Alligator mississippiensis: one gene and its partner. The protein of the gene in region 1 interacts with the protein of each later gene in a biochemical or structural test. Links are inferred from orthologs where the notes say so. Each region holds a gene or a part of one and is shown on either strand. Other genes may lie near its edges.

Region 1 (7,130 bases):
AGCCAGATTGGAAGCTATATATAATAATGGTTGTTGACCAAATTGTTCAGACTAAATATCACACAACTAAAGATAACCACACGTTCTTCTGCCTGAATACCTGTCATTTGGAGAGACACAGACAGCTAATTAAAGAAGGTGTACCCTATAGACGGAATCACTGATATAATAATAGCCTTAGAGCTATTCTACAACCCATACCCCTGCATGGCTACAACCTATACCCCTGCAGATATCCTTAGATTCTAAGGGTATCTACATATATTCACTCCTGCTGGTTTCTGAGGATGCCCCGAAACCAGGGCCATCTGTGCAAGATGGGTCACATCTTATGCCTTTTTATCTTTTCTAGCGTGAAATCATGATATCCTCCAGCTGTTAAACTGGACTCTGCACTCCCAAAGCCAGTGTCTTGACTACGCTCATATAACAGGCCTGACTGGGTTCAATGCCTGTGATGCTTTCCTCTGGGAGCTTGAGAGTAGCAGCGAGTATACAGACCAGGTAGCCATTTCAAACCAAAGCATTATTTAGTATTTTGCAATAGTAACAAAACATTTAGGGGGAAAAAAGGAATTTTAAGAACAAGAACAATCTAAATACTTATACACTTTATGTGACCAGTGATGTACCACCATCCAGATCTCTTGATGGTAACCTAGACAGATGTAGTTTCTTCAGACAGAGGATGCCCGTTAAGTCTTCATCCTGACTCCCTAATCATATACTGTGTATAACAACTGCAGAGAGCAAGAGATCCTCTCTGGCCTGCCCAAATTTCTTTGTTATATGCACTTCTGGCTTTTTACCCTTCCCGATGAACTAGTTTTGCAGGTTGGCTGGGGAGAAAGTAAAATCTTCAAAACTAGCAGTAGGGCACTGTCCTCTAGCGGCTCTCAAGTGTTTGTTTAGGGCAAACTTATCTTGGGCTATATTTTTGCATCCCTACTATCAAACTGATCTAAACTATACAAAATGATATCATAAACTGCTATAATCTGGTCACCACAGCATTCTGGGACCGTTAGGGAGTAGCTTCAGTTCTATTCAAGGGGCATAGGGTTGATTTTAGCCAGCTACACTGAGGTAAAGCTAGGGGACACTTTGTATCCACTAAGATTGTACAGGGTTAATTTTCCATGTGACTACATGCCTCTTTTGCAGTTTTGACAGAAATGCTAGACCTTTCTTCCCCATGGTTCAGGTCAGGTTTTACAGCCCCCAACTTATACCTGTGCTTTTGTGGCTCCACTGTTATTGGCCTCAAGCTAGCCAGATTGCAATCCTGCCTCTGGGTTGCTGTGCGGCGCTAGTCCAAGGACAGCAGAGGGGGTTATGCAGGAGGAGGCATGGCAGGACAGGGGCATGAAACTTAATGTGGAGGAACCATGGGGGCTCTGGAGAGACAGGGCATTTAAAGCTGATAAGTAGAAGGAAGCTAACACCCCAAATCACGGTTGGGAAGTGGACAGGGACCATGGGGCAATGAGGATGTCCCATTCCTTCAAAGGTCCTTGCTGCTGGTGCTGGTCTATGCTCCTGCCAGCTGTTATGGCAGATAACTTTCCAATAAGGGGTGACTGTACCGTGTCTGAGAACCTGAAGAGCTCCACTCTCAGGGTGAGACAGCACGGCATGCATGGGGGGAAGAAGCAAGCCCAGATGTGGCACTGTCTTAGCTTGCTTTCTTCAAGTTTGGCAGCTGTGTTTCTGGTTGGCTCATCACACCAGTTCCCTCTTCCCTGAACTCAGATGGTGGTGGGGAACCTTCCACAAAAAGACCAGGCTCCAGAGTATTTGTTCAATGTGCTGGTGGCTTGCATGCAGCTCTGTCTTCTCAAATCCTCCTGGTGGCAAACCTAGGCAAAGCAGCACATGGTCCCTGGTCCACTACTGCTGAGCTCCAATTTCTCTCACATGTGCATGCACCCACAGGCATCTCCCTTGCAAGATATGGGGCCCAAGGATAAAGCAGGATGGGTAACCCTAGCTGAATCTCAGCTCTGCCACCCCCCACAGTACAGTTCTACCTGGTGGAGGTCTGTTTTTCTGTACTTTTATTTAAACCAATTGGATCAAGGATTTTGAGTTTTGTGGGACACCTACTTTTGGATCTGGGGCTGAACTAGGCAATCTGAATAGCAGGGTAAAAAGCTCAGTTCTGTGCAAACAGCCACCTGTAGGACCAGAGCCCGGGGCATAGCAACTTCTAGCATGTGGAACAAACACGGTTCCTATACCCTCTCAGTGGTTTCTATGCTGTGAAGACACCACTATTTATCCAGCTTTGACCTAAAAGGGCACATTCCTCTCCCAAAGTCTCACCATCTGCTTTAATGCTTGTGATCCCCCATAATGACAATCTCTATTAAATACTGTGGGCTCTTCATATTAAACATTCTTCAGCTCTAGCAGCTTTTCTGCAGCTTATACGCAGAGCTGAATATTCTCAGCATCTTGCAAGATAAAGCCTTAAATGAGCAACTGGTGTCATTTGTGTTTTGGAATTAAGAACTCAGATTAGAATTTCCTTCATTATGTTCTGAGCTAATGTTGAAGTGCTGCCATTAAATGAGTTTCCAGTAGAAGTGTTGTTGGCAAGAGTCCCTTTAAGGCTGCTGTTGTGAACTGTACTATAGGGACGTGCGCTGTGGTAAAGATGCTCCATATATAATGTTCTCCGTAAACTACGTCTGTAGGTTGGGATCCTGTTGGCTCAGACTCCATAGGGGTCAGGTGTCCAGGTTGTAACTGCATTGGTCTAGAGACGAAAGGAATCAAAACTCATGGCAGAGGAATATCTTTTATTAGAGCGACTAGGCAGGCAAGGTTTGTTGGGTAGATGTGATATCTTTTATTAAACCAACTGAGTAGTTGGAAAAAAAGTTCTTAGCAAGCTTTTGGGCGCAGCTACCCTTCTTCAGGCACAGGGAGCCTCTGCTGGTCTGAGACTCCAAGGAATGAGAGAAGCTAAAAGTGTGGCAGGATGTCAGTGAGAACGTAAATAGGGAGAAATTAGAAAGACAAAAGGTAAAGCAGAGAGAGGAGGAGAAAGGCTAAAGGGAGACATTACAGTGATAGACTACAAGGTGGAAAAGAGGCCGTCTTTGAAAAAGGAAATAGCTGGAGATCAGGGCAACAGGAATGAGAGAAGCTCACAGTGCGAGAGGATGTATATAAATACCTAGAGTGGAGAAACAAAAGGGGAGGGGGAAAAGAGCAGGGGGGGGAAAGGCCAAAGCAAAACATTACAGAGGTAATAAAACAGGGTAAGAAAGAGGCTCTCAAAGAAGAAGGAAATAGTAGGAAATCAGGGAGACAAAGGAAAGAAAAGGAGGGGAGGGGAGAAAAGAGGTCAGGTCAGGCAGGCACCTGTTGAATCAGATGTCAGGCAGTGAAGAGAGGCTTTTTCACAGTCTGTCTCTGTAATGTCTCCCTTTAGCCTTTGTTCCCCCTGCTCTCTTCCCCTCCCCTCTCTGCTTTACTCTTGGTCTTTCTAATCTCTACCCATTTACCTTCTCACCGACCTCCTGCCACACTTCTAGCGTCTCTCGTTCCTCGGGAGTCGCGGAGCAGCAGAGACTTTTGGTGCCTGAAGAAGGGCGTTTGCGCCCCAAAGTTTGCCAAGAACTTTCCTCCAACAACTCAGGTGGTCTAATGAAAGAGATCGCATCTACCCAAGAGCCTTGCCTGCCTGTGTCCTTGGACCAACACGGCGACAACCAAGAACCCTGCGAGTAGTGTTTGCAAAAGCATGCCTGTGCAGGGGCCAGGGGGTGCTCAGCAGACAGATGCCCGGCTCTGGCTCCAGTCGCACGGAGGGTGCAGGTGTAGACTCGGGGCTCTCAGCATCCCTCCGGCCCGGACACGCGTTAGAGCCGGGGCCACCTGGAACAGTAGTACACGATGGGCACGGGCAGGACCCCCGCCGCGCTCGGCCACCGAGACAAAAGGCACGTGCGGCACGGAGTTCGGACGCGCCTGCGCAGTGCAAAAACCTGAAGCTGGAAGAGGGGGCGGGCCCTGACGTGAAGTAACCGCGGCAACAAGACCACGCGCCCGCTCGGGGGTCACGTGGAGCAAGGGGCGGTGCGGCGCGCGTGACGCCATCAGCGCGCGTTGCAGGAGCCCAGATCACGTGGCGCGAACGGCTGCAGGGCTGTGACGCCATCAGCGGGCGCCGGGCCCGTTCCCCGCTGCGGGCGCGGTGCGGGCTGAGGTGTGTCCGCGGGGCGGGGCCGGCGGGCGGGGTGTGTCCGTCAGGGGAGGGGGCTGTGCTCACCCGGTGGAGAGGTGCCCGTTGCCCCGCCCGCGGTGGCTCTAGCCGCCCAGACTGGTCCCCGCCGGCCTCCTGAGCCAGGAGCAGGTGCTGCCTTTGTCCCGGGACAGCTGGTGCCTGGGTTTATCCCGGAGCAGAGATCCCGGGATTGGCCTGTGCCGACATGGACCTTTCCACACAGGCTCGGGTGGCCATCCTAGAGGACAGTCCGGTTTTCTGCTACTCTGCCCTCTCTTGATAGGAAACCCAGCGCCTTATGTCCATTTCAAGAGAAAAATCGAGGACATAACGGCGTCCGGTTTCGTATCAATAGAGGACAACCGAACTATCCTCTACGATGGTCGCCCTAGCTGTCACTTTTGTGCCAGAAACCTGGCATGAGCCTTCAGACGCTGTCCTGGCATTAACTGTTCGTGCCCTTTTGTCCTATGAAGCTCCTGTGACAGCAGGCGCGGGCGTCCGAATGGCGGCACGTTGAGCCCGGATGAAACGGTTCGCCCCTCGACAAGTGGCGTCTGTTTGCGGCCTCCGTGTCGGAGGCTCCCCGCGCTCCCGGTGAAGTAAGGCTCTGCTCTCTCCGCTCGCAGGGAGCTGAGGCGCCTCCCGCTCTCCGTGCTATGCTGCTGACGCTATGGCTCCGAAAGATATCATGACTAACTCGCACGCCAAGTCCATCCTCAACGCAATGAATTCCCTGCGGAAGAGCAATACTCTCTGTGACGTGACCCTGCGCGTGGAGCAGAAGGATTTCCCAGCCCATCGGATTGTGTTGGCTGCTTGCAGTGATTACTTCTGCGCAATGTTCACCAGCGAGGTAGGCCAGGCAGTTGTCGCAAAAGGACTTTGGATCCGTGTCTGTCACGAATGTGGCTGGTGTCTCAAAACCTCCGACTGGGGATCCAGGGGGTTGTTGAGAAAGTGCTCAAGAGACAGGAGTTTCCACCTTGCTAATGTAGGTTTATTCAGCAGATAGCACATGCTCCTATACCTAGACATGCGCTGGTTACTTTGCAAGCGAGTCTTCCTCCGTATCCTTGATATTAGACAATTCAGGGTCTCATTGGGGCATAGTCTAGTCACCCAGCGGTTTAGTAATCCAGCGGCCTCTTGTTCCCAAACTTTTTTTTATGCCTTTTTAGTTGCGTATTTATTATTTTTACCATGACTGTTGCCAAGACTACTGGCCATTTTATAGATTATTTGCCTAATTGAGTTTTCACTATTGGTTATCTTTCTAAAACTCTGTCTGCATAGACACACCAAGGCTGTTATACTTTTCTTATCACACTTTTTTTCTCTTTCTGAGCATCTTCTTATTGTCCTTGACAAAGTTTCTACTTTGACAAAGCTTGCAGCTGCTTTGCTCAGCTTTAACTAGCTAGCGGCTTTTTAGCAAGCTTGCTGAAGTTTAGCAGTGCCTTGCAGAAGTGGCGACTGGCAGTTTTTACTGTTTCATGGCCGTCAGCCTCCTGCTGTACCAAAATGTAGTGTATGCTTCATCCAGCTCTTGCATGTTCTTTGTTCTAGAAAGGATTTTGCTTTCATCTTGAAAGGTTAGATTTTATTATGTGTATTATATAACCAAGTGTTATCCAATTCTACCTGGTTCAAGTGCCAGAAAAATGTTACTGTGCGCACTTGTAATGGTCTGAAGGCTAAGATGACAGACTAAGTCAAAAGAAACTGTGAGCAGGAAGAGGATCCATCCACTTCTTGCATTAACTGTTTTTCAGAAGGAGAGTACAATAAGATCATGTATATTCTTATAGGTAGAATAGGATCTGGCTCTGACTACTCAGGTTATTGAAAGCCTAAGGACTCAAAGCTTTCAAACGAAAAACATTCCCCCAGTGGTCTCGTCATCCAACAGTCTTTCTGATCATGGTATTTACATCATAATAGTAATTAAAGATTTCAAATGGGATTATTATCCTATTATGTTAAGTGCTGTATAACCAGAAACAATGCCTAGAGAGTTTGCAACCTAAATAAATAAGAGTGAGAGAGAGCTGGGTAGGCAACCAGTCCAGAGATGAGTTGCATCTCATTCAATATCATAGAACAGGTCAGTAGCAGAACCAAGAATATAACATTGATCTCCTGAACCCCAGTGTAGTGCTCTCTTGATTAGAAACTGTTGTTTTATTATTTGTATTAGCCTACACTAGCGGTGCCAGATCTAGCACCTATGCTGCATCTGTGTGTGGGCTGGTCTTTGGGCCAAATCTGTCTAGCACAGTGGTTTTCAACCTTTTTTCATTTGTTGAACCCCTTTGGAAATTTTGAATGGAGGCGTGGACCTTTTTGAATTTTAAGTGTGGTATTCACTTGCTTTTGATCATAGTCATCTTTCACGGACCTCCTAGATATAGTCTGCAGACCACAGGTTGAAAACCACTGGTCCCTAGCAGACCAGCCCTGCTTTACTCATCTGGCCCACAGGGCTGGGTGAGTTTGATATTTGCAGTTTACACTAAAGACATGTTCTTGTTCCAGGTCGGGGACGGGCAAAGTCCGGGCTAGATCAGGCCTGCAGCAGACTCCATTTCCTAGGAGCCCCTGGCCACATTGCTGCAACTGGTTTCCATGGAGACCCTAGGAGCAGCAGGGCCATGACAGCGTGGGGCCAGGGTTTCTATGGAGACTGGCCCCAGCAGCCTCCCTGCCCAGCCCATGCACCCTGCCAGTGCTGCTGGGGCCGGTCTCTATGGAAACCCTGGCCTCTTGTTGGCAGAGGCTGCTGGGAAATGGAGTCCAGCTGTTGGCTGGATCTGCCATTTTCCCCATCCCTGTTCTAAGTAGTAAAATGACTTTGGCAGAGCTACAGCTAACATTGATTCAGATGGGTAAA
Region 2 (7,003 bases), on another chromosome or scaffold:
GCAGGGCCCGCTCCTCAGCATTAGTCTCTAGCTGCAGCTACAGAACTGCAGTTCTACTGCCCTAACAGGGATAAAACTAACTGTCCCTCTGAAGGATGCACTCCACCTCTCCTTCCGGGGCTAGGAGAGAAGCATAGTCCACAGCAGCCATTATGTGCTTCAATTCTGCTGTTTTGTGGATATCAAGACATGGCTAAATGTTATGGCATATGAGGACTTTTTTCCAGCTAGGATGCTAGAGGCACAACTATGAAAGAACAAGACCCTTCTTATTGGTAGTAAGTGGACAGGAGAAGTGCATGCCCTGTGCAGTATATATCAGTCCTTTTTATTTGGTTAGTTAAAAATCTATTTGTGGCTACTGAAGATGTTTATAGAGGTGGAAAAGAATAAGACATAGTAGGCATAGTGCAGACACTCACGTACATGTGTTTGTTTTACATTCCCTATCCATTGTACATTCATCAAATATGAATCAAGATCAAGCAAGAATCCCTTTTGTTGAGCACTTTCATTCCGTTGCTCCTAAATAGGCAATAATAAGCAAAGAAACCTTGATGCTGACCTTCATACAAGATTTAGACATCACAAATCAGGTTTCATTACCGGGAAATCTGAAAAGCCCAATGCTTCAAAAGAAATAACTTTAATTTATGAGTTACGCATCATCCAAAGTCTAGACAATTATAGTGAAAGAGAATTTCATGTGTACCACCTTAAAACACTGATGCACTTTTCAAGGAGGATAAATCTTGCACATGAATGCAGCAGGCCATGGCTGCAAATGGGATTATTAGGCTTTTCCATGCTCGGTACTGTAAACCTTTGCTTTGCTTCTCCCAAAGAGAGATTTTTGTTCCATACATATCATTATCAAATAAATTATTCTTTAATAACTGAAATCTGTGAGTAGCTGTAACCAAATGAGTTACTGGCAGCCTTCCCCCTCCCCCAATGCAAAAGGATCAGGCACCAGCATCCCCCCAAATTTCAAACCTGAACTGCAGGATGGAAAGTGACAGATTAAGAATCTAATTCAAAATCGGTTCAACTGATTTTGGATTGGGCTCTTCAAATCCACTTTCTGCTGTACCATTATGGCTAGAAAGGGGAGCTGGGAGCCATTGCTTTCCAGTGGTCCACAGCTTGAGCATCTTTCCCTGTTGCACTGTGAGGTACTGTACGTTAACATCAGGACTTCCAAGAAAATGGTATCAACTTTGAACCATGGTTTTAGTTATCATAGCAGGCAGGGTCCTATGGTGCCTGGCTGCACAGATGGACAGATTTGGCAAAGTTATATTAATCTGTGCTATAATCTGGAAGACGTGTGGTATATGCACACTGCCAGGCTAAGACAGAAGCTTTGTGGCCCCAGTCAAATGAACCTTTCTAGCCCTTGTACTTGTGAAGAAAAGCTTGAAAAGTACCTCAGGTGTAACCAATGCAATGAAGTGTGCTTGCATCTGCAAACAGCTTGAGCTCTGAGCAGTTTTACTGGCCTCATGCATCTCAGTGATGGGCCTTATTGCACCACTCTGGATGATCCCATACTAGCAGAAAACTTGGAGAAGAACGCAGGGAACAGTGCCACACTGCTAAGCAGACACTCACAGCTCCTGGGGTGGGTACTGGCCCCTTGGCCACTTCAAAAGTGGGGGCAGAAGTAGAGCTATAGCTACAGAACCCTAGATTGCCTAACCCTGTCTCTATATAGAGAGTCTGCATGAAGAAACAATGGGATACAAAGGGTGGCTTGTTTGGGGTGGCATACCTTGTACATCAGCCATTCCCAAGTCAAGGGGTGCTGAGAAAGCCTTAGGACCACACCACAACAAACAACCGCAGTATACCCAAGGCTTGATTCTCAGCAGCCACAATTAGGCACAACTACATTCGTTTCAACAGATAAACCCATCGTATGTCCAACTGAAGTTTTGGCTCCAAACCACTTAATTGTGTTCATTGTGGAGGGGACTCATGCTAACTTTTCACTCATGATGCCAATCAGTCACATTCTTCCAGTGGCTATTTACGCTGTTGCTGTTTGTTGTTTTGGGTTTGAGGGTTTTTTTAATTAGAGTTTTCAGATTTCAATACAAACATTGTCTCTTTTCATTCTTCAGCAGTTCACAGAAGAGACAGGGATGCATTCCGACATCAGGCTTCCTTGACCCAGAAAGTCCTGGCTAATGAATACAGATATGCCAATCAATTATCGCTAGACTCCAAGCCTGGCTAATCAAAGAGCGAAACAGCAGCAGTAGCAGAGCAAAAAACGTTGGTGTATTGTCCTTCTGATTAAAAAACCTAATGAGTCCTAACAGTCTGGGAACTGGAGCACTATAGTCACCTGGAGATACATGGAAAGCTTGGGAAGGGAGCAGAGGTATCATTTACGCCAGAATTATTATTTTTGTAGTCATTTTTCAGTGCCAGGTCTGTTAGCACGGGAACAGCCCAGAGTGACTTGAGCCTGAAGAAGGATGTTTGTGCCCAAAAGCTTCCAAAGAACAATTTTTCCAACTATTTAGTTGGTCTAATAAAAAAATATCACATCTACCCAAAGCACCTTATCTACCGATGTCCCTAGTCCAACATAGCTACAACCAAGAACCCTTTAGCCAGTGTGACACTGATCACCACCCGCCAGTCTTGTTGTGTGAGTGACAAGGGTTTGGGCTCCACCTTGTCAGGGCTGAGGGCAGTCTTATGCAGAGTTTCTATTATGGTTGTATGGGATGCTTTGGAGAGAAATGATCCTGCCTCAGGAACAGGTTTGCATTAGATCCATGGTTTTTTCATAGATTATAAGACTGGAAGGGACCTCGGAAGATCATCAAGTCCAGCCCCCCCTGCACCAGGCAGGAAAGACAGCTGGGGTCAGGTGACCCCAGCGAGGTGACCGTCCAGTCTCCTCTTGAAGATTCCCAGGGTAGGCGATTGCGATTATACCACCTCTGGAGGGAGCCTATTCCACAGTCTGGACACCCTAGCTGTAAAGAAGTTTTTCCTAATGTTGAGCCTGAATTGGTCTTCTAGAAATTATTCTCAACCTTTTTTATATCAGGACCCTTTGGTAAACATCAGTGGCCAGTCCTGACCCAGTGCCCCACTCCCAACCCATTGCCCTCTGCCCCCAGTGTGCAGGGCAGGGGGTGGGGGGGGGTAAGTAGCCCCAAGCAGCGCCTGGCAGGCTGGAGCTCTGCCAGCCTGCAAGGGAAAAGCCACAATTCCCCATGTTTTTCTCCTTTAAAAGGAGAATGCATTCTTCAAGTTTGTTTGTGACCCTTTCATATATTGTTGCAGTCCACTTTTGAGTTACAACTAGGGTGGCCATCATAGAGGACATTCTGGTTTTCTACTACTCTGTCCTCTATCTATACGAAACCAAAAAATAGAGGGCATAAAGGCATCAGGTTTCATATCAATAGAGGACAGAGGACAACTGGACCCTAGTTACAACCCCTGGGTCATGAATGCCAAGTGTCCCCGGAGGCTGGGGGGCACAGTGACCGTCCACAGGTGGTGGTAGCAGTGGTGAGCAGGAAGCTCCTGCAGGCTTTGTGGCAGCATCGGTGGCAGGGTGGGGGTAAGCGCCAAGCAGCGGTCGGCGACCACCCGCAGACACCTGGCGGCATCCAGCACCAATCGGGGACCGCCCGCAGATGCCACCGGCGGAGTCAGGGGGTGGCGAGCAGTGACTGTGCTTTTTGCAGGGACACACCGCCAAGCTCAGGGGATGCATGTGCCCCCGCGGGCACCCCCTGCGCGCTGCCAATGAGAAAACCTGCGCTAGATGCCTCGAGGAAGGTCCCTTCCAGCCCTGCTTCCCTCCGACTCTTGACCCCCGGCTGGGCCTGCATTATGACGTCACAGCGCGGGGCTTGTGATGTCAGGAGCAGAAGTTTGTGTTTTTTTTAAAGGCGCCTCATCTGCTTCGGGTGACAACTCCTCCCGGGGGCACGCGCTGCTCCTGCCGGGCAAGGCTCCCCGCAGCCAGGGCCAGGGCCAGCCCCCCTGGGGGCGCAGCTCAGGGGGAAGGTCTCAGGTCGGGGCGGGGCGCAGGGCCCACGTGGCTGAGGACCTGAAGCCCCACCCCGTTTAAGCGGCTCTTCGCGAGAAGCCCGCCCTGTCCCGGCCGAGAGCTGCCCCCTAAGCGGCTCGGCGGGCGGGAGGTGACCGCTGACAGCGAGCGGAGCCTGCTCTGCAGCCGCGGGGTTGGTGCCGGGTGCCCGCATTCCGCCCGCCCCGGCAGGGACCATGGGGGCGTGTGAGCCCCAGCCTTAAAGTGAGGGAAGCTCACCCCACCCTTCCCCTCCATGAGGGGCCCCTGGAAGGAGCTACAGGGAGCCCCCTAAAGGAGCCAGGGGCTGGGGGTGCCAAGGTGCCCCCCGAGCCCCAGCCATGCAGAGCAATGGCACTGAGGAGGACCCATCCAATGCCACGGTGCAGGTGCCGGGCGGGCAGCCCGGGCACAACGTGGCCGCCCTGGTGCTGGGCATCCTCCTCATCCTCTTCATCATCTGTGGGAACCTGCTGGTTTGCCTCAGTGTCTGCATGGAGCGGGCGCTGAAGACCACCACCAACTACTTCATCGTCAGCCTGGCCGTGGCCGACCTGCTGCTGGCCATCCTGGTCCTGCCCCTCTATGTCTACTCGGAGGTAAGCTGGGGTCGCTAGGGCTGGTTGGGCTTGAGGCTTGTGGTCTTCATCTTATGGAGCTGCTCTGCCCAGCTGGGTTCCCTCTGAGAGGCCACCCGGCTTCCTGGCAAGAGCCCGGAGCCAGCTCATGGGTGTAGGTGGGTGGCTGTAGGAGCCAGGGACTCTTGGGGCTACTGCGGTGGCTCTCAGCCTCTTGAGACCCCGTGTACTTTTTGGTAGACTCGAGGCACCCTGTGGAAAATGCCAGCTCTGAGCTTTCACTCGCCTCCTTCCTGTGGTAGGGAATAAGAGAGCGATTCTCCTGTGGCAAAGACTCCAGGGAGCTCACGGCAGGCGAGAGCACTCATGACACTGTGGATTTCCATTCACAGTCTCTGGGCTTGTGGATTTAACAGAGCTAATATGCAACACACTTAAAATAATTTTGCAGCACCCCAGGGTTGAGAATTGCCAGTCCAGTGTATGACACCCCGATACTGGAGACCTCTGGAGCAGGGAGGTCCTGCTGGCACCCCAGCCAAAAGCTCTGTCTGACAGCGGCTAGACTGTATCCCCCGTGTGACCGGGGCCAGAGAGGAGTTAGTGTGGAATAGACCGAAAGGCAGAACTGTGTGTGTCAGACCTCTTGGATATGAGACAGGCATCCTCCAAGTATGGTCCTGTCCCAGCAGTGTGTTAAGGAGTAAAAAAGCCCCATATTTACAAAGTTAAGTGTAACATAAACAAGAAGGACTGGTTGGGAAGAGAGGGGATTTTTGTCTCCTTTGGAGGTATGAATAGAAAGTGGTATGATACTGTGTGAGCTCAGGGATCCAGAGGACCTCCAGGCTGGTGGAAAGACTATACCACTGGCTTCAGTGGTCTCAGGAAGCAAATTCTCAGCGAACAGCTCTCCAGATGCATTCTTGCTGGGGGGAGGGAGAGGCATTCTTCTGCAGTCCACCGTAAGCTGATCAGTATCTCGGGGATAAGAAAAGCAGTTTATGAAAGAAATAAGGTCATTCCAAGGCAATGGAAATACTGTTTTGGGATGGAGGCACATGGATTTTTTTTTTCTTTTCCTTTCCCTTAAACTCACAGCTGTAAAAGCAGTGTCTGGGTCTGTTTACTCTCCATAATTTCTTCTGAATAGGGAAAACGTGCTGGCATAAATTCCTTGAAAAGTGGTGGCTCCCTGCGTGTTCTCCCTCTCTCCCTCTCTCTCTCTCTCTCTCTTTCTCTCTTGCTTATAAGCCCAATCCAAAGCATGTGTAAGTCAATGGAGAGAGTCCATGACTTCGGTGGGTTTGGGATCAGGTCCTATGTTACTTTTTAAAATGCTGAAGGTCCAATGTAAAGGCAGCAAGTCTAATGGCTGAAACAAGGGACCAGGTTTCAGAAGGTAGGTCCGGTTTGGAGCTGTAACTTGCAGAGCTACCTTGGTCAAGTTGTTCTAGCTCTTTGGGTCTCCATTTCCTCAGCCATATAATAGTTATAATGCATTTTATTTTGCTGAAACCCAATAGATGGGTTTCAGGAGCACTGACATTGCCTTGGAGATCCTATGATGAAGACCACTGCAGAATGCTACTGAAACAGGACAGGAATATCGTTATTTTTTTCTGCTGTAGACAGCACCTGTCCTCTGAGGATCAAGGAGCTTTCAGCACTGTAATTAAACCTGGGGCGTGGGAGGACATACAATTCCCCTTTTGCAGGTGGATTACCTGTAGAACAGGGGAATTAAAACCAAAAGCTTTGGCAGGTTCAAATAGCCCTGTGAGTCTCCATCTAGGGGCTCAAATAGGAACAGAACAAAGCTTCCAAATATCAAATTCAGTTGAGCCCAAGTTGTTTGAGAGCCAGTAAGTAGCCTGGCAGCCCCCAGCTTGGAGGCAAAGCCAGAAAGCATGGGATGTGTTGCTCAAGGATCTATCCCCTTTCTTTTTATCTCCCTCATCCAATTGGTGGAAGTTCAGCTGATGGATACAGTGCACAGAATAAAGACTGGAGTGTGTAGGCTAATTTAAGAGAGTAAGGGTCTATTGGGACAGAGGTGGGGCTAAAAGAGGTAAACAGGATTGGGGTTCATACTTTGGTGTATCAGGCTATATAAGCTAGGACAGCACCAGTGGAGAGAGGCTGCAGCCCAGAACCTGAGCAAGTTGGGTCTGTATGCAATTGAGTAAACTGGGGGAAGTCGGTAGAAGACCCCAGAGGCCAAGATGCAGTATTTGGGGTTCTCTTACCTGCCTGGCTAGGTCCATGGACCTCTGGGAATCTGCTGTGACAATCTGATGCACATGTTCCTTCAGGAGGGCAGGATCAATGGTAAAACCATCCTAAAGTTTTGTGATGA

Evidence for each region. The genes of interacting proteins can lie anywhere in the genome.
Region 2: of the proteins of KLHL12 (region 1) and DRD4, one has a biochemical effect on the other in vitro, tested with the Homo sapiens proteins (2 studies listed by BioGRID, with this or other methods). The link is inferred for Alligator mississippiensis from reciprocal best matches to the Homo sapiens genes KLHL12 and DRD4.

What each region holds. Positions count from the first base shown.
Region 1 is NC_081837.1:33,121,360-33,128,489, reverse strand, and holds the start of KLHL12 (kelch-like protein 12), read left to right. Parts: upstream 1-4,129; 5' UTR 4,130-4,219; intron 4,220-4,713; 5' UTR 4,714-4,910; coding exon 4,911-5,093; intron 5,094-7,130. UniProt on the Homo sapiens protein: Substrate-specific adapter of a BCR (BTB-CUL3-RBX1) E3 ubiquitin ligase complex that acts as a negative regulator of Wnt signaling pathway and ER-Golgi transport.
Region 2 is NC_081825.1:183,349,158-183,356,160, forward strand, and holds the start of DRD4 (D(4) dopamine receptor), read left to right. Parts: upstream 1-3,996; 5' UTR 3,997-4,407; coding exon 4,408-4,665; intron 4,666-7,003. UniProt on the Homo sapiens protein: Dopamine receptor responsible for neuronal signaling in the mesolimbic system of the brain, an area of the brain that regulates emotion and complex behavior.